2 linked regions of the Styela clava genome follow. The protein of the gene in region 1 purifies or fractionates together with the protein of each later gene. This does not show direct contact. Links are inferred from orthologs where the notes say so. Each region holds a gene or a part of one and is shown on either strand. Other genes may lie near its edges.

Region 1 (12,835 bases):
GAAGCTTCTCTAGAGACTTGTTCTGAGGTGTCAGAACGTCTTCAAAAAAGCTTGAAACTATAATTTTTGTTCAAGACAAGCGAGGGTTTTCCCCTTTTGTAATTTGTGTTTACAACAAGCGAGGGGTTTCCCCGTTTAGTGTTTTGTATTCAGTTATCACTCGTGCAAGAAAAGGCTTTTCAAATATTTTTTTGTATACTCTTGACATTATTACAAAGGTAATTACCGTAGTCAATATTCCCATTTATTTTTTTTATCATAAAACCTAATGTTCCAGTAATGGGGGTAATGCTTAGTGGGTAATGATATTAACCCCCCAATCCTAATCAGTAGTGGGCTGGTCCTGTCCCAATAGCCTCTCTCAAAGAGGATCTGTAACATTGATTCAAAGTAAATTCCCATAATCGCTAATTTTTTTGTCGTTCATTCATTGTTTATTCATTCTATGCTATCATAACTCGTATGTTTGTTTTTCTTGAATTGTATTGTTAGGCTATTTGCAGCTATTTACCCTATGTAGGAGATTTAACGGCATGAAGGTCTCTTTATTTTGTTATTATTTCATAGCGCGCCTACTTCACCACCACAATCTGGTGCATTCGGCCTTTGGTGGGTTATTGGGTATAAAAATCGGATTCAAACTCCGATACCACTTCGCCTTTGGCTTTTATGTAGATGATTCCAAATGTATGATAGCTTCGTACATATCAGAAGCTGCTTATCTGGTGCCTTGTTCATATTGGCAGTGTGAAAACACGCATAAAAATTAGGCACCTGGGCTTACTTGACATCCTAAATTGAAGAAGAAGTGCATTACCCCCTTGCCCACCAGTTGATGCAGGATGTAACAAATTGGGTATAAGCTAGTGGTTCTTAACCCTTTATCTTTCATGGGATCTCATGTAGTTTCTTACCTAACATACTTCTAGTCGTCGTAGCATGACAATTTTTTCATGTGTCAATCCTAACCCTCACCTGACCACACCATCCAAAAATTACGTCACTACGACGTCACAATGACCCTTCAAACTATACGAACTGCCATCCAATAGGCGCGGACGAACACCCGAAATTGAACAGCTATTTTTTCTCGTCACAACGATTCCAATAGGAGAGAGATCGATAACGTCAGACAGTTCTTTATTGTCAGCGCCGATGCCATTTCGGCCGATTATACGTATATTCGGCAAGCTCTATGACGTGATTGTGATGTCGTAGTGACGTAATTTTTGGATGGCTAGTCAGATGGGGGTTAGGATTGACATATCAAAATATTGATATGCTACGCCCACTAGAAATACGTTAGGTACGAAACTATATGAGACCCATAAAACCTTTTTCATTTACTTAACTCCGGCAATATTGAATACGTTTGTAGCCCACCTGGAAATGTTTCTATGGCCCAGCAGTTGTCCGTGGTCCACTAGTTGAGAACTCACGGTATAAGAAATAATGCAAGCAATAAAGATTCATTTTTGCTTGAAGCTTTGTTTAGAATCAAAGTGTGCAAACTACCGAATAAAAAAAAACAGGGCTGCTCCTTCCCATCAAGAATAAAAATAATATTTAGCTGCAAATGGCCCAACAATGTTGTTCTAATGATCTGTTGTTCTTTATTATTGTTCTTCTACTTACAGTTGCATGCTTTGCGACGTACGGTGACCGCATGAAATTTATCAAATAAAAGTGTTGTGAACAATGTACTCGAATATGCAATCGGCAGCAAGGGCAGTGGGTTGGATAAGATTTACACTTTTATCTTCCGGGGGGAGAGAATAGCCGACAAGACGGTATAATCATATGGCTAACTACGTCCTCTCGTTTGGTTGCCAGTCCATGTCTGGTATGAAATTGAATAGCCAGTTATTAGTTCTCGAACGCATGGACTTAATGGTAGAGGAAGCCGTAATTGACCGGCGGTTTTGTGAACCACCCTACGGCGACGAGGAGTTCGCGAGCGTAAATCTGGGTATGTTCGTAGCAAAAAGCACGAGTGCGCAATCCGTTCGCACATAATTAATCCCGCATGGCCCTCGAACCCACGCAGAATAATCAGAGATGCGGTGGCGAGCGTATTCCTAATGCTTAGCACGGTGCGCCACAGCGCCGAGTTTCACTCTTTCAGAAAATAGGTCCTATTCCAGAAGCAATATATTTTGAATACAGAATTTCCAATATGTTTTTAATTGGGTTATGTTCAACGGAGAAATTTGCTTGGCGGTATGGCGCATCGTGATGTGTCAGGGGTGTGCAACAATTTTTATCGGCGGGCCGTGTAATAAACTCCAGACATCTAGCCCCGCCACGCAAAAAAACTAGGGGGAAAGGTAAGAGAAAAGAAAGCGGATATCGCTCATCCTTGCAGTAAAAAATGCGCAGGGCAAAGCAGCGAAATATCTCATGCAGCAACGATAGCAAAAATCATTTATGTATTTTAATCCATGTAAGCGCTTTTTTAAACATAAACTGTCGGATTCGGATTTTATGCCTAATGGCAGTAATGGGGGAAAATTTAGTGTTGACAAGAGCCACACTAAATGGCCTGGCGGCCTAAGCGCTGGGAATATCACACCTCTGATTACCCTCTCCTGGAGGATAATTAAGTGCGAGAGTTATACTGGCCTGGCCGCCGCCGCCGTAGGGTGGTTCACGTAACAACTGGTCGGTTACGGCTTCCTCCGCCACCAAGTCAAGCTATGTTAGCAACGTACCACTGGTCTCCTGTGTCATTCAGTTCGCAGGCGGCGTAAATCTGGGTTTGTTCGTAGCAAAAAGCACGAGTAAGCGTCTCATTTTGCGCTCTCTGTTCAATAATAAAGTCAGATTAAAGTTTGGCTCGCCCTGGACAAAGTTTTCTTTGGATACAGGTGCGACAATCCAAGTTGTCATTTTGCCTCGCTTTGGGAAGAAAGCAGAAAGCCCCCTGGAATAAGAAAATTAGAAGTTATCTGGTAACGGATAGGAATGCAGATTGCGATGGAAATTTAAATTTTTGAATCATTTCTATCGCTAACTGGATAATTTATTATTTATTATTTCAAAACCTTGCGGGGTGAGGGCTTTGTACAAAATATCCAAGTTTTCCCTCACCCTTTAATTGTGGGCATCGCAATCCACATTTTAAGTTTGGCTCTGTTCGAAAATATGCATCTACGTTCATAGGACGACAGAATTTACAATCCGAGTTTTCAGTTGGGGGTTCTGGAAAGGTAAGCACAATATCCGTTCCGATGCAGCATAATCTCGATGAATCCACAATGAGTATGTTTATGGAGCTAAACACAACTATCTAATTTCGCTAAATATGCGGCCATAACATTCCTGTGTATAACAATTGACAGTGGGTCCTGCTTGATTCGGTTTACTCGCATGTGAAAACCGCATGTGTAGACACCTCTTCCAAAACGTAAGGTTTGACTAAAAAAGTCTTAAAAAAAAAGTGGGATTAAAAGGAGATTTTATTTAGACCAGAAAGATCTAGTACATTCTTGACAAGCAGCGAATTTTCGTAATCATATGGTATTTGGTCACTTGTGGGCCGCATTCGGACAGACCCTGGGGCACAATGGGTCAATCTGTCAAAATTCAACGAAGTATTCCCTTAAAAATAACAATTAATGAGCATATTCGTCTAAAGAACAATGAGACTTCAAATTTGAAGATTTAATATTTTTAAAATCAATATTCAACTGAAATAGTTCAGATATTTTGACAAAAACTTTCGCAAACAAATTTGATTATTTCCTTCCTCGAATCTAAATCTGGAAATATTATTGATCCTCGAAAATATTTCATATTGGGCCATGGGTTGAAAGAAATCATAACATTACACAAAATATAACGCATCTCTAGGTCTCTAAGCACTTATTGTATCAAACACTGTCCAATTGTGCCCTGTAGGGCATGTCCCACTGAACCCCGGTCCATTGTTCCCCATAATAAACAAACATTTTCAGACCATCCCACGTCGAAATTCGGAAGGCACATCCACTCGCCAACGTCATGAATATTTTACAATGGACTAAAGCTGAAAAATATCAGACGGTGGTTTGTCATGTTAGAAAGGCTAAAGTAGTAAAAAGAAAAAACTGGAACGGTGAAATTTTAGTTTCAACCTCTCAAAACCAATTTCACCTCATAGCTTGCGCCGCTCTACCGTCCTCTGTCCGTTCGCGGAGACGTTATAACTCACCGAAGGGCGGATTGAAACATCGAACCGCGGACAGGATTGCGGATACAGTATCAGTGTGAGAGCTGATTCTCCACTGTGCCCCATGTCCCAACGTGCCCCACCTTCCCCTACACTACTAAACCATTGGCAGATATTTGTATTTATTGGCAGAAAATTTTATTTTTTTTTGGGGGGGGGGGGGGATATTCCAATTTAAGTTCCTGAGATTTAAACCTTTTTCCTAATCCCGATCTCGAGAATAACATATATATCTGTTGAAATCAAGTAATTTCAAGGTTGTATCCATAAACATCAATGCGGTGCAGATCTGAAGCAGTAGCCAAAATCAAGAAACAATTGTTTTGTTATTTTGTTTGTACTTTATATATATTACTTAAAATAAAAAAACTCCATCATGCACCTGGTTATAACGGTAAACTCTCATGCTTTGATATATATTCAAAGTAGGTAAACTAGCAGTATTTTGATCATATTTGGGCAAGGCCTCCACAAAATTGTTTCCGGCCCGTCAATCTTGCAACCTTGGACCAACCTGTAATAGGTGATCAAGTATAGTTTTTATTCAAACGACGAAATTATCAAAGGCCTAAATAATGCATGAAAATGTTTCAATCGAGTATGAAGCAGGGTTTGAATTATATTGTACCTGACCAGTCTTGGTTATATGGCCTGGGGAGATTTAATACCGTCCGCCACTAAAACAAGTATTGGTATTTTTAATTCACGGAGCGCCTAAATAAAACACGTTTTATGTTATTATTCTGAGAAAATTCTAGATATTTTGCAGTGAGAATAATAATACATTCAGGGGTTTAAACTCGTGTCACGCGAGAAATAATGATTTAGCAAAGTAGTCAGAACTGATGTAAATTAAATAGATACACTTTTGTTGACATGTGGAAAACTAAAACAACGTCTGGACATTTATCTCTGTATTTGCGTGTATTATTTATATAATATTTTTGACTTGTGCAGTATTAATGTAATACCTATTTATGCACGCGATAACAAACTGCCAAAAGACGACGCTAGTTGAGAGCATTGCTATCTAGTAATCTATTAAAAATTGATCTTTGTGGGGGTGAAATGGTCATGAATGTATCAAAATATGTTGTGAACCACTTTCCTAGCTTGAAAACTAAGTCTCTACTTTTATGGCACGCACCAGGTAAAATTCGTATGTATCCATTTTGCTGTTGTTGACATCGAGTGAATGTGATGTTTGGACATATCTACTCTCTCTGATAGGCTCTCGGCGCTCACCACTCAATGTTGGACATAGTGTTGCAAACACACGCAGTGTAATCAGATGTGCGGTAGCTAGCGTATTCCTAACGCTTAGCACGATGAGCCACACCACCGAGACGAGAAGATCGGAAACCTTAGTGGTGGGCCTATAGCAGAAAAGTATCGGGCCGAAAACCCCACTAGGGGGCCGCGATTTGTCATTTGAATTAGATTTATTTGGGCTTTCCACATGTGATTATTAAGAAAAAACGTTCAAACGTATCTATTAAGTACTTCCGCACTGTGGGCAAAATACTAAGCGAAACCAAAACTCGAGTTAGTTACGTCATTAACTTCTCCTCATTAAGGTTGAATTCAGCTAATTTATACTATGATAAATTATATGTTCCCTTGTAAATTTATTTACTTAAAAAATGTGTATACATGTATGAAGCAGCAAAATACTTGAATGATTATTACTATTCAAATTATAAAATACAATTTAAATAATTAAACTAAGCAATTATTGCATTTCAGTTCTATTGAAATCAATTTTAATACACTTGGGAACATGTCATTTTCCTGTGTGTGAACATAATTTAATCTTTCTCATGGGATCAAAACAAAGGTCGGTTCTCTACTTTTGTCTGTTGCTATTTTCTTTTCGTTTTGTCGTCGGCTATTTTTTGAGTAATGAAATAATTATTAGAGAGTTATGTACTTCTGGTTGTTTATCTTATAATTTCGTGATTTAGTTATTTATGTCTTCTTTACCCTTGAAGGTATTAACGGGTGAGAAGGAACGTGAAACGCCGAGCAGTGACTGACTGCTGGACTGAGGGCTTCAAAGTTCTGAAGTTGGGAGAGATTTACATATTTCAGTATTTATCATGGGTAGAAATAAGATACCGTAGGTCATTTCATCATTTGGAGAATCACAGCCTCTCGTCCAGTTACTAGTGCATGTCAGGCATTGGATTACTGGATTACAGGATTAGTTTGCCGGTACCGGTACCGGTATGCTAGTAATCAGATGAATGGACTTGATGGTCTGATGGTGGAGGAAGCCATACCGGTAACCGACCAGCGGTTAAGTGATCCAACCTAGGGCGACGAGTAATCCAGCAATATTTTTGCACATACCCTCCTCTATGGGATTAGTCAGCCAGTTCTGCAGTTATTTGTTTCAGATGCATGGAATCCACGAAACATTTTTAGTTTTTGCTTTCTTTTAATTTAATTTATAGCGCAATCAGGCATTGCTAGTTTGCCGATATGGAGGCCCAGACTGTCTTGTAATGGAGGGGTTTGCACTCACTGTTTTAATTAATGGCTATTCTTGGAATCGGACAAAATATTAATGACTCTAAAATATTTCAGAACATATTTTGAAATTTTTATTTCATCCAAGATATTTGTGCAGTATCCATTGAAAAAAACTTTCTGTTTTACAGCTGCTTAGGCAAAATATAACCTAAAAATGAGGTTTCATAATTATTTCAATATTTCTGTCTTGATATTATGGATTATCATGGTTGGATTTGACAGTACAAATGCAACCATATACGCTTTCGACCAATTCAATGAGACTGACCAGTTTGCTGATATGGAGGCCGGATTTGGTCCGAGTATTGAAGATGGGGGTATGATCGGTTTACTTGTAAGAGGAGAACCATATGACGGATGTAACCCAATGAAATCACCCCCGTTTAGACCCAGTGACAATCCGGATAATATAAGTATATCTTGCTATGCTTTAATAACTCGTGGAGGTTGTGATTTTGGAATTAAAGTATATAACGCACAAAGAGCTGGATTCCAAGCCGCTATAGTACATAACACTAATTCTGATACTCTAGTAAGAATGAGCAGTGGGTTTCCCTCTATTACAAACGAGCTTACAATACCTGCAGTCTTTGTCGGAATAAGTTCAGCTCGGAGAATGAACACGACATATCTTTATGATAAACCTGGAACACCATATGTGCAAATTTACGAAGGTTCTTTTAATCCGTTAGACTATTATCTTGTCCCATTTATTGTCGTTATTGGGATTTGCTTTGTATCGCTTTTATGTTTCATGCTTGTTAAATGTGTAAGAGATAGACGCAGAACACGGCGTAGCAGGTTATCGTTACAGCGTTTGAAGAAATTACCAGTCAAGAAATTTGACAAAGGAGATGAATATGATGTATGCGCTATATGCCTCGAAGATTATGAAGAAGGTGATGTTTTGAGGATTCTACCTTGTAAGCATGCGTATCATTGTAAATGTGTAGACCCCTGGTTAACAAGCAATAGGCGAGTTTGTCCGTTATGTAAACGTCGTGTCCTCAGCGACGATGAAAGTGATTCCTCATCGGATGAATCAAACGATACGAGCGACGATGAACAGACTCCTTTAGTTCGTTCTTCTATTGCTTCATCCCCAAATTCACCAAGATTTGCGACTGGTTACGGCTCCCGAAATCCGATCACTAGGAGGCCTCGTAACCACAGCTTTTCATCTGATACTAGCACAGATATCACTGAGGTTGCTCCTGTGTTAACCCATGGTTCCCACTGGAAAGGTTCAATGCCCGATTCTAGTGATACTGAAGTTCCACAGTCGTCAAGGGGTTATGAACGTCAGCAACTTGTAACGACACATCAAGAACCTGATCGTGATGTCACAATGGGTCTTATGAATCCAGCAATGGAACCCGACGATTTACTGACTTCCGCAGAAGCAATGATGACAGGTCCGAGAGTTTCCGAATCCTCTATTGCAGTTCTATCCGACATAGAACAGTACGGTTCCTCGCTAGGGTCTAGTTCATATTGTTCACAAGATTTCCATAGTCTCAATGAATCTGTTACTATTTCACGATCTTCTATCACCACCGCTACAAATATTGACTCCGCCCACCACCACGAAGAAAATGATGAAACTGCTTCAACATCTGGCAACAGTACTGATCAGGATGACATCATTGTTATCGCGAAGGGTTCAAAGGTTCCAACTACATTTGATGACAATAGTGAAGTCTGATTATATTAACTCTTTCATTTTATTATTCTCAAATATCAGTGTATATTGCAATTTTATGGCATGATTTAATAATCGAATACAGCTCAAGAAACTCTGTATTTGATAAAAAGGTACTCCTGTAGTATGTAAACCAGGATGGTGGACACCGAGACGTGGTATGTGGGCCAGGTTACGGTTAGGCCATAATTTCAGATACTAATACAACGTAAGTCATTTGGCTAGTCCCCGAACTTGTAATAGGACTAAAATAAGGGAAATTTGGTATATAATTATTGCCTAACCGTAACCAGGTACACATACTATGTTCAGGTGTCCGCCATCTTGTTTCACTACTGGAGCGTTAAAAAAAGTTCCATATGTGTTAATAAAGGACGCTGGCATTGGTTTAGATCAGTGTTTCTCAACCTATGGGTCGTGACTAGGGCTGGACATTTCGAATCGAATATTCCGGTCGAATTGCATAGTAAATTATTCGAATCGGTTCAGAGCAAAATTTCAAATCGCCGCCATCTTGTTTTTTTCTTTTTGCCAATGATCTAGCTAGGTGAATTCCTCATTTTTTGTTCATTGAAGTCATAATTTTTCAACGCAATTCTAACATATGACTATTCTCTGTAATGAGTTATTGATAAAACGTGTTTGTTATTGTGTGTGAACGCTCAGTAATCTATCTGAGTGATGTATTCTATGTCTTCAGTAAATCATTTGGAGGACCAACTACTATAAAAAAGTCGCTTACAATTATATATTTCCAAGTATTCGAGATTCGATTCGAAAAAATTATTCGATTCGATTCTGGAATCAGAAGGTATTCGAAAATGCCCAGCCCTAGTCACGACACAGAACTGGGTTATGAAAAATGATTGTTTCATATAAGTCATTTAATTATGCCATTATAAAAGTATTACATGTCGTTTAGTATTTGAGCATATCCTTGGATCGCGAGGTTTTACAAAGTTTATTTTTAAAAAAATTGGGTCGTTTGAAGAAAAGGTTGGTAACCACTGATTCAGATCTCTGGTTGACAACCAGATTGACTCTAATTCCAAACTATATTTTCCCCTTGGCTAACAAACTTTTTTAATTGGAAGTGAAATTGGAAGTTTTTGATTGGAAGTCTACAATTTTCATATCTGAGCTAAAAAATAACCTGGTATTGACAAAAAATTTGACTCCCCTCCATTTGAAAATTACCTGCTGCTCCCCTGCTTTGGGGGTTCCATCGATCTGGTCTTGGTGAATATTATATTAAATCTATTTCGAAAAATTCACATCAATGAATCTTGAATTCTGATGTATATTTAGTCATTTTTTCTGTTTGTTCCTAATATTGAAAAATTTGTTTTCAAATTCAAAATATCTTAATATTTTCACACTCTGGTTTATATTTTTTATGGCCATGTTTAGTTGAAATGCTTGAGAGGTTGCTTTGTCACATGAATGCAGCAGTGAACAGGTAGTCATTTTCTGGCGTGATTGATTGCTTTTTTGTTTTTTTTTCTTGAATATTTTATCAAAGTGTCATGTTAATGCTAGGTGTATTTGTCATGGCATAAGGTCTATTCCATCACCTGTACTAGGGGTGCACAACTCAAATGAGGATACGTGCCAAATTTTTCAGAATAATCTTGTCGCGTGCCACGCACAATTGTGGTATTGTAAATTAACTCCCGCAAAACAAACAAATTTCAATAATAATACATAATAACGGATATCTATTTGTTGAAACAATTTAATGTCCTGAAATACTGCTGATTTTGATATAAACGTGTTATTTTAATGTATATCATAAATAATTTTTTTTTTACCCGTGTTGTGCACCCCTGACCTATACTATTGAGAAATTTTCAGAATATGGACCAGAATATACAATATCCTTTATTCATCTAAAGATTTTGAATTGGGAAATTGATTCTGAATTGTAATATGTGAATTATAAATAGGGTGTTAAATTGCAAAGAAGGGAATTCATCGATACCATATATTGTTTTGGCCCTCACAGATGTATAACTGATTAAAAAACAGAATATACTGAGAACTTACTTCATAACAAAATTGAAATTGTAAAGCAGGGGTCTCCAACTCAAAACATGTCGCGGGCCACTTTTTGAAATTTATTGAAAACGCGGGCCGCAAACCAAGAAATTAGGTACAAAAATGGGTATCTGAATGTATTGTGTTAAAATTACACTTGAATCTTACAGCAAACGAGACATGAAACACATTCATATGCAAATGCTCGTCCGTTAGTCGTGTGCGGAGGGCAGACTTGCTAACTTTCATATATAAGAATTGCCAAAAATCGCAGGTATGCAAAGTGAATGTGCAATTAGCTTTGCAAACCTTTCTTCGGGCACAATGGACTGACCGAAACTCGCTTATTTTGTCACAATGAACATGCGAAATGAAATTATCGCATTCATAATTGCATTATAACAATATAATAAAACATGAACGTGGACAACAGGGGGGAATTTTGCTTCGCTTTTTACAGTTTGTCGGACCGGACTCTTGATGATAAATGACACAATAAAACCTACTAATAGTTTACATGGTACTATTTTAGTTTTTTGTGGAAAAATCCCAACCATGACGCGGGCCGCAAATCACTGGCTGGCGGGCCACATGCGGCCCGCGGGCCGCGTGTTGGAGACCCCTGTTGTAAAGGGACTTTATAGACATCCTGTATAATAAATGGTTGAAATAACAGTCAAATGTCTGTGACTTTATTTGTGCATATGTATTTGACACTTCATTGGTGTGTGTGCTTGGTATACCAATAAATTTAAGTTTGCTCACATTCATTTGGTTGCATTGAAATTACATAGACTCCTTGCCATTATCTCATTTTCTGAGTTTTTGAATTCAATGGGATATTGTTAATTATATATTTCTATGATTATTTTTTTCATCCGTTAATTATTAAAAGTCAGTGGTTTCCATTCGACTGCCGGAATATTCAATTGTTAAAATTATTGATTGCTCATTTATATGACATGTTTTCACTCATTTATTTTTAGTTCTTTGACAAACAGTAAATCCCAAAAAGTTAGCAAACATTTCCTCAATGTTTTCATGTTATCGCTTGAATCGTAAATATAAATTTTGAGTCTTTAGCTTGGTTGTTCTCAAACTTTCTCGATTTCCAACTCTTAGCTTCTACCTGTGGATTGTGGCCAGTAGCTTGTCAAACTTTTCTGTGTCCAGGATGAATTTGTGATATTGCTGCCCCATATAGCCTACATAACTTCAAAATCAATTTGGGGGGTAAACAAATTATAGATAATGGTATACATGGGAATGAATCTTTTCAAGGTCAAGTAAGAGTGAAATGTTTGTAATATTATTATTTAAATCATCAAATCACCTGGGACAGCTGCAGAATCCTATTGTGTTTATAATATTGTTTCAATGATTAAATTCAAGTGTCCTATGACCCCTGATTGTTAAAAAAATTGTTTTGAAATTGATTATATTAAATGCTCCGGAAGTATGTGTACCAAGATGACGCACAACCTGAACCCTAGACTGGTATACATAACTATGTTCAGGTTGTGCGCCATCTTGGTACACATACTTTGGGAGCACCTTATATTATTATGTGATGATGATTTTAACTTGTTTCGTATTTTCGATTTCTTGTAAATATCCATTATATTATTACTTCTATAATCTCTGAAATCTAACAGTTTTCGCCATGTTTAATTTTCTCAGATGTGTTTTCTGAAATTTAAAAATACATTTCGATTTTTCCCGGGGAGATAAAAATGTCGAATTTAGAAACTAGTTATCGACGTTTGGATTCAACTGAAGAGGAAGATGGGGAGGGGGATTCCCCTCCTGATGGACAAGCATTTTTGGTTCATGTTCCTGATGGAAATAAAGGTATAATTTAGGATAATTTGTGGGTAGTTGGCATTACGGATAAAGAGTTAGACTTAACTGCTACTCATCTTGAGGTCAAACCCCATGCCCCCCGCGTCACCCGAGGTGTGATAAATTGGGTTGGCAATGTTAAACCGTGAAGATCCCGGATTTTCTGAAAAATAGCAGCTTCTAACATACCGCTAGATATTGGTGGCTAGTCGTACAGAGCCATGTTTGTATCAAAAGGCATAAATATCTGCCGTATATAAAAGAAATGAAAGAAAAAAATTATTGAGAGAATACCAAAACTGAATTAACTACCATTATGGATACATTTTTTTTTGCAAACTGAATCCGGCCATTTCTAACTAGGACACAGTATAGGAGTCAAAATTGATTTGATAGTTTTTGTTTTTTTTGGAATGGAACATATTCTGGAGAAAAATCAATTTCTGATCAAAATGTCCTAGATTGGTACTCCTTTTGTGTCTGTACCAGGTTAATTTTATTCCGATTTA
Region 2 (13,026 bases), on another chromosome or scaffold:
GTATACCCAAGAGAGGAAAGTATTTGATGAATTATCCAGTAAATTTAGTTGAAATACCAAACCGTTTTTAAATATGTTACATCTACATAGTTGATAAAATTGAAAATTATACGCTATGTTTGGTATTATATATGGCCAAGTCAAAACGTGCTGCTACTGTTCTGACATAATGAAATCAAATCTATAAGGTATCTGCTTCACTCCGAATGAGTCGTAGTGCTGCCTTTATTGGTGGTTTTCGAGAAATCGCTATTTCAAAAACGATAATTTTTTGAAAATTTGAAAATAATCAACAAGAAGGCGAAACATGATTTTCCGTTATTTCATACTTTCCGCAACTCATTCCAAGTTCAATGGACGTACAGTATATATGTATGTCCAAGAGAAAAAGATGTTTGATAATTTATCTAGTAAATTTAGTTGAAATACCAAACGTTTTTTGAATATGTTACGTCTGCATTGTTAATAACTTTTTGAATACACACTATGTTTGGTATTATATATGGCCAAGTCAAAACATGCTGCTACTGTTCTGACATAATGAAATCAAATCTATAAGGTATCTGCTTTACTCCGAATGTGTCGTAGTGATGCCTTTATTGGCAATTTTTGAGAAATCGCCCCTTCAAAAACGATATTATTTTGAAATTCCGAAAAAAATCCACAAGAGGGCGTAAAATGATTTTTTCGGTATTTCCTACTTTCCGCAACTCCTTCCAAGTTTAATGGACGTACAGTATGTATGTATGCCAAAAGAAAATGATGTTTGATGAATTATCTAGTAAATTTAGTTGAAATACCAAACGGTTTTTAAATATGTTACGTCTGCATTGTTTATAACATTTTGAATACACACTATGTTTGGTATCATATATGACCAAGTCAAAACGTGCTGCTACTGTTCTGACATAATGAAATCAAATCTATAAGGTATCTGCTTTACTCCGAATGTGTCGTAGTGCTGCCTTTATTGGCGGTTTTTGAGAAATCGCCCTTTCAAAAACGATTATTTTTCGGAATTCAGAAAAGAACCCATTATAGAGAGCGTAAAATGTTTTTTTTTTATATTTTAAACTTTCCCAATTAATTCTTAGTTTAATAAACGTACAGTATTCATTTGTGACAAAGAGAAAAATATATTTGATCAATTTCCAGCAGCTTCAGTTGAAATACAAATCCATCTTAAATTTGCTACGTCGACAATGTTTATAAAACTGAGAATACACGCTATTTTGGTATTATTATATATAGCCAAGTCAAAACATGCTGCCACTGTTTTTTTATAGTGAAATCAAATCTATAGGGTATATACTTTTTTCCGAATGTGTCATAGTGCTGCCTTTATTGGCGGTTTTCGAGAAATTCCCCTTCCAAAATCGATAATTTTTCGAAATTTTGAAAGAAGCCACGAGAGGGCGTAAAATGTTTTTTTGGTATTTTATACTTTTCTTCTGCAACTCATTCTAAGTTTAATAGACGTACAGTATTAATGTGTGACAAAGAGAAAAATATATATTTTATCAACTGTTCAGCAAATTTAGTTGACATACAATTCCTTTTTAAATTTGTTTCGTCCACATTGTTAATAAAATTGAAGAGTATACGCTATGTTTGGTATTATATATGGCAAAGTCAAAACGTTCTGCTACCGTTCTGACATAATAAAATTGAATCTATAAGGTATGTGCTTTTCTCTGAATGTGTCGTGATGCTGCCTTTATTGGCGGTTTTTGAGAAATCACCAATCCAAAAACGATAATTTTTGAAATTCTCAAACTAATTCAAGGGGGTGCGCAAAATTTTTTTTATTATTATTTTATACTTTCTGAAACTTATTCTAACTTTAATAATGTACAGTATTGATGTGCGACAAAGAGAAAAAGATATTTGATCAATTATCCTGCAACTTTAGTTGAAATACAAACCTTTTTTTAATATGTTACGTACCTTTGTTTTAAAAATCGAGGAATATACGCTATGTTTGGTATTATATATGGCCAAGTCAAAACGTGCTGCTACTGTTCTGGCATAATGAAATCGAATCTATAATGTATGTGCTTTTATCCGAATATGTCGTAGTGCTGCCTTTATTGGCGGTTTTCGAAAAATCGCCATTTTAAAAACGATAATTTTTTGTAATCCAGGACAGAATTCACTAGGAGTCGCAAATGATTTTTTGCTGTTTTATACTTCCCGCAACGTATTCCAAGTTTAAAAGATGTACAGTATTAATGTGTGACAAAAAGAAAATGATATTTTATCCATTATCTAGCAAATTTATTTGAAATACAAAATCAATTTGAATTTGTTACGTCCATGCCGTTATTAAAATTTAGATTACACGATATGTTTGGTAATATATATGGTCAAGCCAAAACGTACTGCTACTGTTCTGTTATAGAAAAATCGAATTTATAGGGTATCTGCTTTTTTCCAAATGTGTCGTGGTGCTGCCTTTATTGGCGGTTTTCGAGGAATCGAGGTTCCGAAAAGGATAATTTTCCGAAAATTCGTATTTGCGGAATACCTGAAAATTCATTTTTCGCTTAGTTAGTCTTTTTTTAAACACTAATTTCTTGTTAAATTTAATGTATTCATTCAGTTTAAGAATTTTTCATCTATTTTCGTGCCAATATTATATTTTGATCAGCATTTTCAATTTTCATATTTACCTTATAAGTGAACAATATATGCGCGTGGAACCTATATTCAATGTATAAAAATATTCTGGCTGAAAGTGCTGCTAGCTTCACAGTGGTGGTACACATACTACAGGAGTATTCTTTTCTGTTGCTTGGTATTTTGCTTATTTTAAATATAAAGGCTTATCGTAAGAAAAAAATTTGGTGGCATCTCGCAATTTTTTTCGGTTCGAATATTGACAATTCTGTAAAAATTGAAAATTTCAGTAAGATAATTGAATTTTTCCCGATGGGGCCGTGGCCCATCAAGCTATGTGGCCAAATTAGATGGGCCGTGGCCCCGGCCCATGGGCCGTAGAAGAGTCACCACTCTTGTAGGACTTGGTAGACAACAAAACAAGTCGAATTACCTAGCCTATATCAGTATATTTAATGTAGCCACATATTTTTTTTTGATATTAAATAAAATAATAACATAGATCATTACATACAGATAAAAAATTCCATAATATTGATCATTCGTATCCACATATTTTATTACACAAGTATTGATCTTTAAGATCTATCGTCCTGTATCCTGCAATATTCAGATAAGTTACATCTAAAAAAACTTCGAAAATGGTTTTGCACTGGATCTGTAGCGACATCTAGCCGCCATTAAAACGATTTGGGGAAAAAAACTTCGATCCATAGGATAGGATTTACATATTTATCCCGGGGGAGAGGAAAGCCGATAAGACGGCTCATCCATATGGCGAACCACGGCCTCTCGTCCGGTTACCATTCCAAGTCAGGTATGGGATTAGTTATATTGTTTGTTTTCGGAAGCATGTTCGGAAGCATGTTATCAGTTACTTTTACTTTTGTTTTTATCTATTTTTTTATCGTCTATTGCTGATTATGGAGTCGAAATAAACTTATACTTATACTTATGGACTTGGTGGTGGAGGAAGCCGTAACCGACCAGCGGTTACGTGAACCACCCATAACTGAACGGAAACTTTTGACTCTGACTCAGGATACCAAATTGTAAACATCATAGCAGATATCTAAGATCATTCGGAGTTGATAAACTGCTGGCCGATTTCTTCTGCCATCAAGGTATGCTTGCCAAAACTGGCTAAATAATCCCATCCCCGACTTGGAATGGTAACCGGACAAGAGGCCGTGGTTTGCCATATGATTAAGCCGTCTTAGGGGCTTTCCTTCCCCTTGGATAAATATGTAAATCCTATCCTATCTAGATCTTACTATAAAACATCTAAAAAACAGCCCGGGAGATATTGCAATGTTTCAGTCGTCTTGTAACTTGGTATCACCACGACCATTAATCTTAGATATCATTACGCTGTGTCGAAAAATCATTGTTAGGCCACAATGGCGTTGACTTGTATTTGTGAGAAGACGCTTTTGTTGTACAAGTCATACGGGTCGAAAAAATCTTAATAAAATTGCAACTCACGAAGCTGAAAGGTTTGAAAACGTTGATGTCTCCATTCATTTAGGTATCAGCCTTCAAAGATTCTTGTCAACTACAACAGCAAGGGTGGGCAAGGCTTTTGAACCAGGGGTCAAAAATGTTGCCCATCTTGACTGGCGGGCCGCGTAAGTGTGATGTAAAAAGTTACATATCATGAACAGAATTTTATTGGCAGTGTTACAAAAGAAAAAGTGGGAAACAAGCCTCGTGCCAAAACTAAATTTAATCGAAATCTCAACAAATTCCTAGAGCTATTTTTAGCTAGAACATCAAAATTCTGATTTTAATTTGTTTGTAACAGCATCATGCAGGCCATATTGAATTACTCAAAAAGCCGGATTTGTCCCACGGGTCGTAGTTTGTCCATGTCAACTATAACAGACATTGGCAGGTTCACTAACACTTATATCTGCGCTAAACAACACATAATTAACATTGTCCATGAGTTGTTTATACGTGAGAGTTCGATATCAGTGAACCCCTATTCTAATTATATTATACTTTTTAACTGTTACCAGTAATATTTAATAATTAATGTAATCTGGACTACAATTTGGCAATATTTTGGTGTGTCCTTGGTAAATGAAAAGATTTATCCCACCTCTTCATGCACTCAACTTTGGCAATTTTGGTCGGCAATTTGGCATTTGACTCCAATTATAATCAGCTTGGCGAAATCTTTTTTTTTGTCCTTATATTAAATACTGTTCACTCTTGTTTGGGAATTTTTATGAAATTATTAAAATGGTGTGGCGAGCAATTCTTATTTTTATTATATTTCCTATCTTTTATTCTAATTTCTTCTTTACGTGTTTATTTTTTGTTGCCATATAATATAATTTATCCAAAGATCCCTTGAAAAGCATTGCACGATTCTGAATCGTGTTTTTTTGTATTGTTGGAATTTTTTTTTGGTGGGCGGGCGCGTACTTTGATGTTTTTTAATTTTATTTTAAGTTATGCTCGCTTTCCAGGTATCTCTGCATTTTGTTTGTTCGTCTACTTTTTGTGCTGTTTTGCTTTTTTGTCAGAGTAATGAAATAAATGATTGATTGATTGAAAGCTTCTCTCTTAGTTCTAACTTGATTATTGCCCTATGGTTGTGTGTGTGCGAGTGTGTACGATTTGATTCAATAGTTTTAGGTGAGTGAACATGCACCACTTCTTTTTGGCAATACCTTCCATTTTATATTCTGTACGTTTTAAACCTTATCTAAGGTTTTGTTTACTTTCCTGATTTCATAATCAGTTTTTATTTATTTGTTTTTATCAACCGTTTTATTGCCTTTTTGCTGATTATGAAGTCGAAATAAACTTATCTTATCTAACTATAGTTATCTTTTTAAATAATATGTTTGATAATATAAATATAACTTCATAATATATCAATATTTCAGAGGATATTGTCGAACCACCTTGTAACGGCTTCACCGAAACTCAGAGGTTTGATCGAACTCCGATTAAAAGACACTGAGCTAGACGATCATAACGGCAATCATAATTTTTGACGTTAAATTTCGATCGATATTTAACCATTTTTGGCAAGTAATAAACGTCAATATATTGGAGGTCAATCTTTGAGAAATATACCCTTATTGTGCTACGCGATGCAAATTATCCCATACGGAAAGTTTCTTTCTAATCATCCTATTATTTAAACCTGTTCAACTATTTATTTATGCATTTGTCTTTGAGTGGTAATTGACTTTGATGACTTCAACATTTTAAATCTTTATTTCATTTTTATAAATTGTATTGTTTTAATGTTTGCGAACGAATAAAATATATTTTTTAGAATGAACTGTTGCCTTCTATTTACAAGTTTCATGAGTCAATTTGAAAACTAGACTCTGATCAATACCCAAAAAACTATTGATAAAAGTTCACGACCTTTCTGCCACGGCGAATCGGAAACTTGATGAAGCGGAAAGGTTCGCAATCCGCCGGTCGATTTTTTCTTGATTTTCGTCGATTTTTTTTTGTGATTTTAAACATTTTCATGCATTGATTTGTAAAAGATATTTTCTCTGTTTCAATACATGATAAGTAAGTACTCACAAGGATACTTAACGCTGCGGAAATGTAACTACCGGTGCCGATAAGCGCTCATGTGACTTTTCGATATCTTAGACTTCACAGCAAATGCTGAAATGCTAACAACTGAAGATAACGCCGAATCGGCCAATGTACCGGTACCGTATTGGTAACAAGTAGATTAATAGACGGATATTTTATTTTAAAGCGACAGTACCGGTATGAGTGCTACAGTACGACGTAACTTACCTCCAACTATAATTTGACTCCAACTATAATCAGCTTGGCAATATGTTTTCAATAGAATCTTCCTTTTATATCTTAATTAACGATTAGAAGATCGATCAATTTGGCAATGGCAACCATTACAAAAATATCAATATGGTGTGGCAGATAATTTTCTTTTCTAGTATTTCAGTATTTATTTATTTATTTTTTTTTTGTTTACTGTATAGTATACCCTAAATTTATCGCGTTTTATTCTTACTTAAATAACTTCTCAGTGGTTGTGTGTGTGTGTGGCTGGTGGGTGCATGTGAGCGTGTGTGAAATAACTTAATAATTTTAGGTGAGTAAACACGTACCACTTCCTCTTGGCAAAACCTTCCATCTTATATTTTGTACGTTATAAACCTTATCTAAGGTTTTGTTTGCTCCCCTGATTTCATAATCAGTTTTTATTTATTTGTTTTTATTTATTTGTTTTTATCTGTCAAATGTATTGTTATGCTGATTATGGAGTCGAAATAAACTTATACTTATACTTATACTCTAAAAACAAAAAAGCAAACAAGAAAAAGAAACAAATTTAAATATTAATAATATAACTCTACTGTCTGACTGTTTTGGTAGTAAAATTCAGATGTTGATGATAAATTTTTCCACGAATATATAACAATTAATGTAATGATTGTGGGGCGCTCCCGAAGTATGCGAACCAAGATGGCGGACATCCGAATGTAACAGGTTAGGGTTAGGCGATAATTTTTTTCCAATTTTCCTTATTTTAGTCCTATTATCAGTTCGAAGACTAGCCAAGAGCCTCCCGTAGTATTTATACCTAAAATTATGGCCTAACCCTAACCTAGTACACATATTACATTCTGATGTCGCCATCTTGGTTCGCATACTTCGGGAGCCCCGATTGTGGAACCAGTTCTTAACATTATACTGTTATAGTCTAATATTTTATAAGGGAAGGGAAGAGGAAAATTTATGGAAGTTTGGATCACTCAACTGCATATTTCCAATGTCTGTATTTAATCAGTGTTTACAGGAATTACAATGGTAAAATTTGAAAATAAAATCTAAATAAATTAGTCTTTAAATCAGCAAAAAACACCATTAAAATTGGTTGGGATTTATCAATAGGAGTTTCAGCTGAACAAAACAGCAAGATGGCTCTTACACTGAAAAAAGTGAAGGGAAGTTTGGATCGAATGTTTGATAAGAATATGCAGGATCTTGTCAGAGGAATTCGGAATCATAAGGAGTCGGAGGTTTGTGTCTTGTTTGTTTGTGTTCTGAATTTTTTTTTTGTGTCATTGCAATGCAATTCTCAGCCAGGGGAAAATTGCTGAAAATCAAATATGCATTTCCTATGTGATAAATTGGGTGGACAGTACCATACCAGAAAAAAATTCGCACATATGTACAGAGACTTGCTGTTATGGACAGGGAATAAATTTTAATTTTTAAAACTCAATATCAATCATTTATTATAAAATTGGGTTGGCGAGGCAGAATTGGAAAGGTTCTGATTTTATAATGGAAAAGTTTTATTCTTTCATCTATCATTTTATTTATTCAAGATATCTTGAATTTAGAAAAAAAATCATGAACCTACTATCAAATATGACTGTGTGGTTAATTAAACTAGTAGCATTTATTATTAACTACTTCCCCCCCCCCCCCCCTAAAAATTTATTGTTGGTGAATTTATATGCACTGAAACCCAGAGTCACAAGCCGAGTAAGGTCAAAGGTTATCCTAGTATTTGTTGTTAAGTCTATCACATTTGAGTCTTACTGAGGACCAGACTGGATGCCATGGCAGGTGCACACCTGAGTTTGCTAATGCTCCCTCAAAATGCATGCGAGCGAAATTCCATTTTACACGCCGGAAAATTTGGGATTGTCCACCGTTATATATGACAGTCTGGAGGGTGGTGGAATGAAACAGCCACCAATAAACAGTGCTGATGAGTTTTAATATTACAAATTGACCTTTCGGCATCAAGAACATGCCATAACCCACGCCGATTAACAGCTAAATGGGCCTCTCTTGAAATGCGAGACTTTTTTGTTTCCTGAACATAATTGTTCGATTAATTGACCTTTGGCATATGCAATCGGATCGCCTTCGTCATTTGCTAGATGGAACTCTGCGTCAAAGCACCCCGTTAAAATAATAGCCTATCACACTTGTTTATTCAAAGTTTTTCCGATATGGCCATTCTGTTAGTTGCACGCTGAGAATCTAGGTTTTCACGCAGTTTTAGTAATTTTGCACGCGGATGCAGACATTTGGAGTGCTGCAGTCACTGATTGCACCCGATTTCTCATGGAAAAAGGTCATGAATTCCAGACTGGACTGAGAGTTAGTCTACGAGTCATTCTATTCAGATAACTTGAGTCACCTTGAGTATTTGATTAAAGGTGACTCGATTCCAACTAGAGGCGAGTCAATCACTGAGTTAATTCTCATTGGGGGTTTGTCAACTTCGAGCCATTTCATTTTGATGACCAACTCAGAGTATGTGTTTGATAAATCTTGACTAAAGTTGATCTCGAATAGAGTGACTTAAGCCTAATTGAGACCTATCCAAAGTGTGAACATACTTTTTTGTAATTCAGTCTCGCTACATCGCTGGTTGTGTTGAAGAAATCAAAAGTGAACTGAAGCAAGACAATGCGGCAATCAAGGCAAATGCTGTTAACAAGCTTATCTATGTGAGTTGCCGGTTAATATATTATTTTTTTTTAAAAAATATTTCCTCAAAGTAAGGTTGTCCTCACTCAGAAGTAAAGGAAACTCACATCTGAGCAAAGTTATGAGTTTATGAAGGCAATTCTTCACATAATACGTCGCATTACATCTTGTATAACTGCCCTAAAAACCAAACCAGCTGTTATGCCACGGCCTAATATCTATCCCTATTCCTAACCTGCTGTCTGTATGACGGCCCAATAGCCCTCCACAGAGGGGGCTATTCAAATGACGATTAGGGCCATACATCCATCGCTATTCCTAACCTACTGTCTATATATCAACCTAATAGCCTATTGCAGGGGTGGTCATTCAAATGATCTATGACAGGGCTACTCAACTGGCGGACCGCGGTCCGAAATCGAACCTTTCGAGTATTTGATTCGGACCGCACCTAATTCTTTATTTTAGATCATTAGCCCCACTTTTGAAGTTTCCTTTTATAAAATGACTTATAGTTTTGAATATATATGAAAACAACTATAACACCATAATAAGCAATTTTGATTAGCTAATAATCATTAGCCGGTCGAGGAAGTGTGCGTTTAAGGATGCCGATATATAAATTCTGGAAAGTGCGGACCCAAATAATTTTGAATTTTCGCATGCGGATCTTCGGTGAAAATAGTTGAGTAGCCCTGATCTATGAGACCATAATATGGTTCGATATATTATATCCACCTCCATTTCTAACCTACTGTCTATATGGAAGCTCAATAGCCCTATATAGTGGAGGCCATTCGAATAGCGATGGGGTCCACATCAGTGTTAACTCTAAGCAAATTATGAGTGCGAAAGTGCTTCGCAGTCGAAAAAAAAAGTGCGAAAGTGCTTTTGCCGATTTTCACAAGTTATGTGCCCTAGCCTTTCATATAACCCATTTAAAACGGCATAGATACTCGAGAAAGCGCTCCACCGGTTAATATTATGAATTAAAGAGAAGCCTTTTCGTTAACCGAGTTCCCTTTAAGCGAATTCATGTTTAATTAAAACAAGCGAATTCAAATTCGAGCAATTAGGGTCATAATATACTCCATAATCTACTGTCTATATTACAACACAATAGCCCTGTATAGAGGAGGCCATATCCCTATTCCTAATCTGCTGTCTATATGGCAGTCAGGCAGCCTGCTATGGAGGAAGCCATTTAAATGGCGAGTAGGGCCGCATATCCATCCCGATTCCTACCTGCTGTCTATATGGCAGTCAAGTCAGGGAGGCAATTTGAATGGTGGTTGGGACCATATTATCAACCTTCTGTTTATGTCAGCCCAATAGCAGCTCTGTATAGCACTATACAGAAATTCAAATGGTAATTAGGATCATACATCCATCCCTATATCTAAAGAACTGCTTATATGGAAGCATAATATCCCTGTATGAGGTAGGAAATTCAAATGGTGTATGGGACGATACATCCATCTCTATACCTAACTTTGTCTTATTCTTTTCAGCTTCAAATGCTTGGGTATGACATCAGTTGGGCAGCTTTCAATATCATCGAAGTCATGAGTTCACCAAAGTTCACATTCAAGGTTGGTACGATGGTTGCATTGCATTTAATTCACAAATTTATTTTGGGTAGGAAAATGTAGATATTCATAAGTAAATGCAGATTCTATCATTCAGTGTAAAAATTTTAGAAATATTTTCATTTCAGATTCATTTTGAGCAATTCATGTCTCACAGTTTTCACACTTTTAATTTCTTAAAACTTTATAAAAGAGAAAGCCAATTAAATCATTAATCATCTCAATTCTCTCCGACATTATCGTATTCAATCTCATTAAATGGAAATTGACTGTTTTATATTAAAAATTATTCGGCTTAGAATAAATTATTATTACAGAATGTAGTTGAAATGATAAACTGTTTGGTTCTGGCTATCCTGTCATAGAAGTTACCAATCATGTCTGAATTATTTAGATACTGCTGTAAAGCTGTTTATATCTCATGACAGTCTCTTTTACCTAGTAAACAGCTGTATTAAGAAAACACCTAATTGAATTACATAGACAATGTTGGGCACTCTAGGAGTGTGTGTACCAATATGGAGGTAATTTTGTTCGCCTCCTTTACATCAAGTTTTGTAAAGGGACTGAAGCCTATGGGCAGGGACTACCTGGTACGCATGCACTACGGAGGTACCCAAAGTTGAACATGAAAGATCGCTGCCCTTCCGATAAAGTTGTAGCACCTCATATTTGAGTAGTTGCTTACAGAAGGCTTTGTTCAGCCCTAACAAATATTTGTACTCTGTCTTGTCAAGCATTCATTTCATTATGACAACTAATACAGATAAATATAAGTATAAGAAATCAGGAGAGCAAACAAAACCTTAGATAAGGTTTAAAACGTACTGAATGTATACAAGAGGGAAGGTATTGCCTAGAACAGTGGTTCTTAAAGCATGGGTCGCGACCCAAACATGGGTCGCGGAAGGTTTAAAAATGGGTCGCGACAAGGTCGTTAATGCAAGGGCAATCTAAGAGGAGACGGACGAATTTTCAGATTTCCCAATGTTTCAATTTAGCTTCCAAACTCTGGTATTTAAAAATAATGGAATATAAAATTTCATTCACGGAAAGAACTGTCTTGAGCTCATTGTTACATCACAATTCTGATATGCCAGTCACGTGTATTATTTTTATGGTAACGGTAACCATGCAACGTTGTGTTGACCGCGTGGAATGTCGTCTTAGTGGATTAAAATAACCAAAAATGGGTGTCGTTTTGGTATTGTAAATTGTAATAGACGACGCAATGAAAAAGCTCGCTTCTCGACATTAGATTATTCAATATCTAGAAAAAATGTGACTTCATCTCGAGGCACCATTTACCGCGAACGAAGCGGTGTGTGCACATTTGATGAGTAAAAAGTTGTATATTGCGAGAGATACCGAAGGCCAGCTAGGATGTCGTGTTTGCGACGGACAGCGGACGCCTCTGTTGCTACAATTCGCGACAAGGCATTTGTGCGAGCGAGGATATTTGGCACTGACGGTTATCAAAACTAAGCTCGCAATCGCCTCGATACCCGTGACAACTTGCGTATTGCGTTATGTAAAATAGAGCTGTGTATTGAAGATATAATGAAAAGGAAATTTCAGTTTCATCAATCTCACTGAGTCAATGGACTGTTTCTAATAAATAGTTGTCTGTATTTGAGTCAAACTGTACTAACATTAAAAACACATTTTGCGTTATTTAGGATTGGGTCGCGAGTATTCATAAAACTCAGATTTGGGTCGCGCTCGAAAAAGTTTAAGAACCACTGGCCTAGAAGAAGTGGTACGTGTTCACTCACCTAAAATAATGGAAATATTTCACACACGCTCACACGCACCCACACACACAACCATAGGATGACAGGGTACCTGATCGCACAAAGCTAGACTGCGAAAACGCCTCACAGAATTAATCATTCTTTTCTGTTTCAGAGAATCGGATATTTCGCTGCATCTCAATCATTCCACTCTGAAACCGACGTTCTCATGTTGACAACGAATATGATTCGAAAAGATCTCGGATCGCAGACAATGTACGATACAGGAGTCGCTCTCAGCGGACTGTCATGCTTCATTACTCCGGATTTAGCAAGAGATTTAGTCAACGATATTCTGGCTTTGGTGAGTTTTTTGATGACTTTCTGATCAAAGTTGTACAGGCAATGCTATAGTGTCTCAATCATACACTAATATGCAGGCAGAGGCCTGTAGTTACTCAATTACCAGAATTTGGACAGATATTATTTTGCACATGAGCCAAACTTAATTCAGTAGTTTTCTACCCTGGTTACGTCAGTGCAGCACAGAAATTCCGCAAGTATCCGCTTAAATCTTAGAGTCTAAATTATTATATATATATATATATTGTTTAAAT

What was found.
Region 2: the proteins of E3 ubiquitin-protein ligase RNF13-like (region 1) and AP-3 complex subunit delta-1-like purify together in Homo sapiens (affinity purification with mass spectrometry; 3 studies listed by BioGRID and IntAct, counting the BioPlex papers as one, with this or other methods). This does not show direct contact. The link is inferred for Styela clava from reciprocal best matches to the Homo sapiens genes RNF13 and AP3D1.

The regions. Positions count from the first base shown.
Region 1 is NC_135262.1:2,537,432-2,550,266, forward strand, and holds E3 ubiquitin-protein ligase RNF13-like, read left to right. Parts: upstream 1-6,876; 5' UTR 6,877-6,899; coding exon 6,900-8,450; 3' UTR 8,451-12,165; downstream 12,166-12,835. Other genes in the region: autophagy-related protein 9A-like, read left to right, coding at 12,218-12,335. UniProt on the Homo sapiens protein: E3 ubiquitin-protein ligase that regulates cell proliferation. Involved in apoptosis regulation. Mediates ER stress-induced activation of JNK signaling pathway and apoptosis by promoting ERN1 activation and splicing of XBP1 mRNA.
Region 2 is NC_135250.1:30,760,503-30,773,528, forward strand, and holds the start of AP-3 complex subunit delta-1-like, read left to right. Parts: upstream 1-7,427; 5' UTR 7,428-7,553; coding exon 7,554-7,655; intron 7,656-9,011; coding exon 9,012-9,107; intron 9,108-10,598; coding exon 10,599-10,679; intron 10,680-12,584; coding exon 12,585-12,773; intron 12,774-13,026. UniProt on the Homo sapiens protein: Part of the AP-3 complex, an adaptor-related complex which is not clathrin-associated. The complex is associated with the Golgi region as well as more peripheral structures.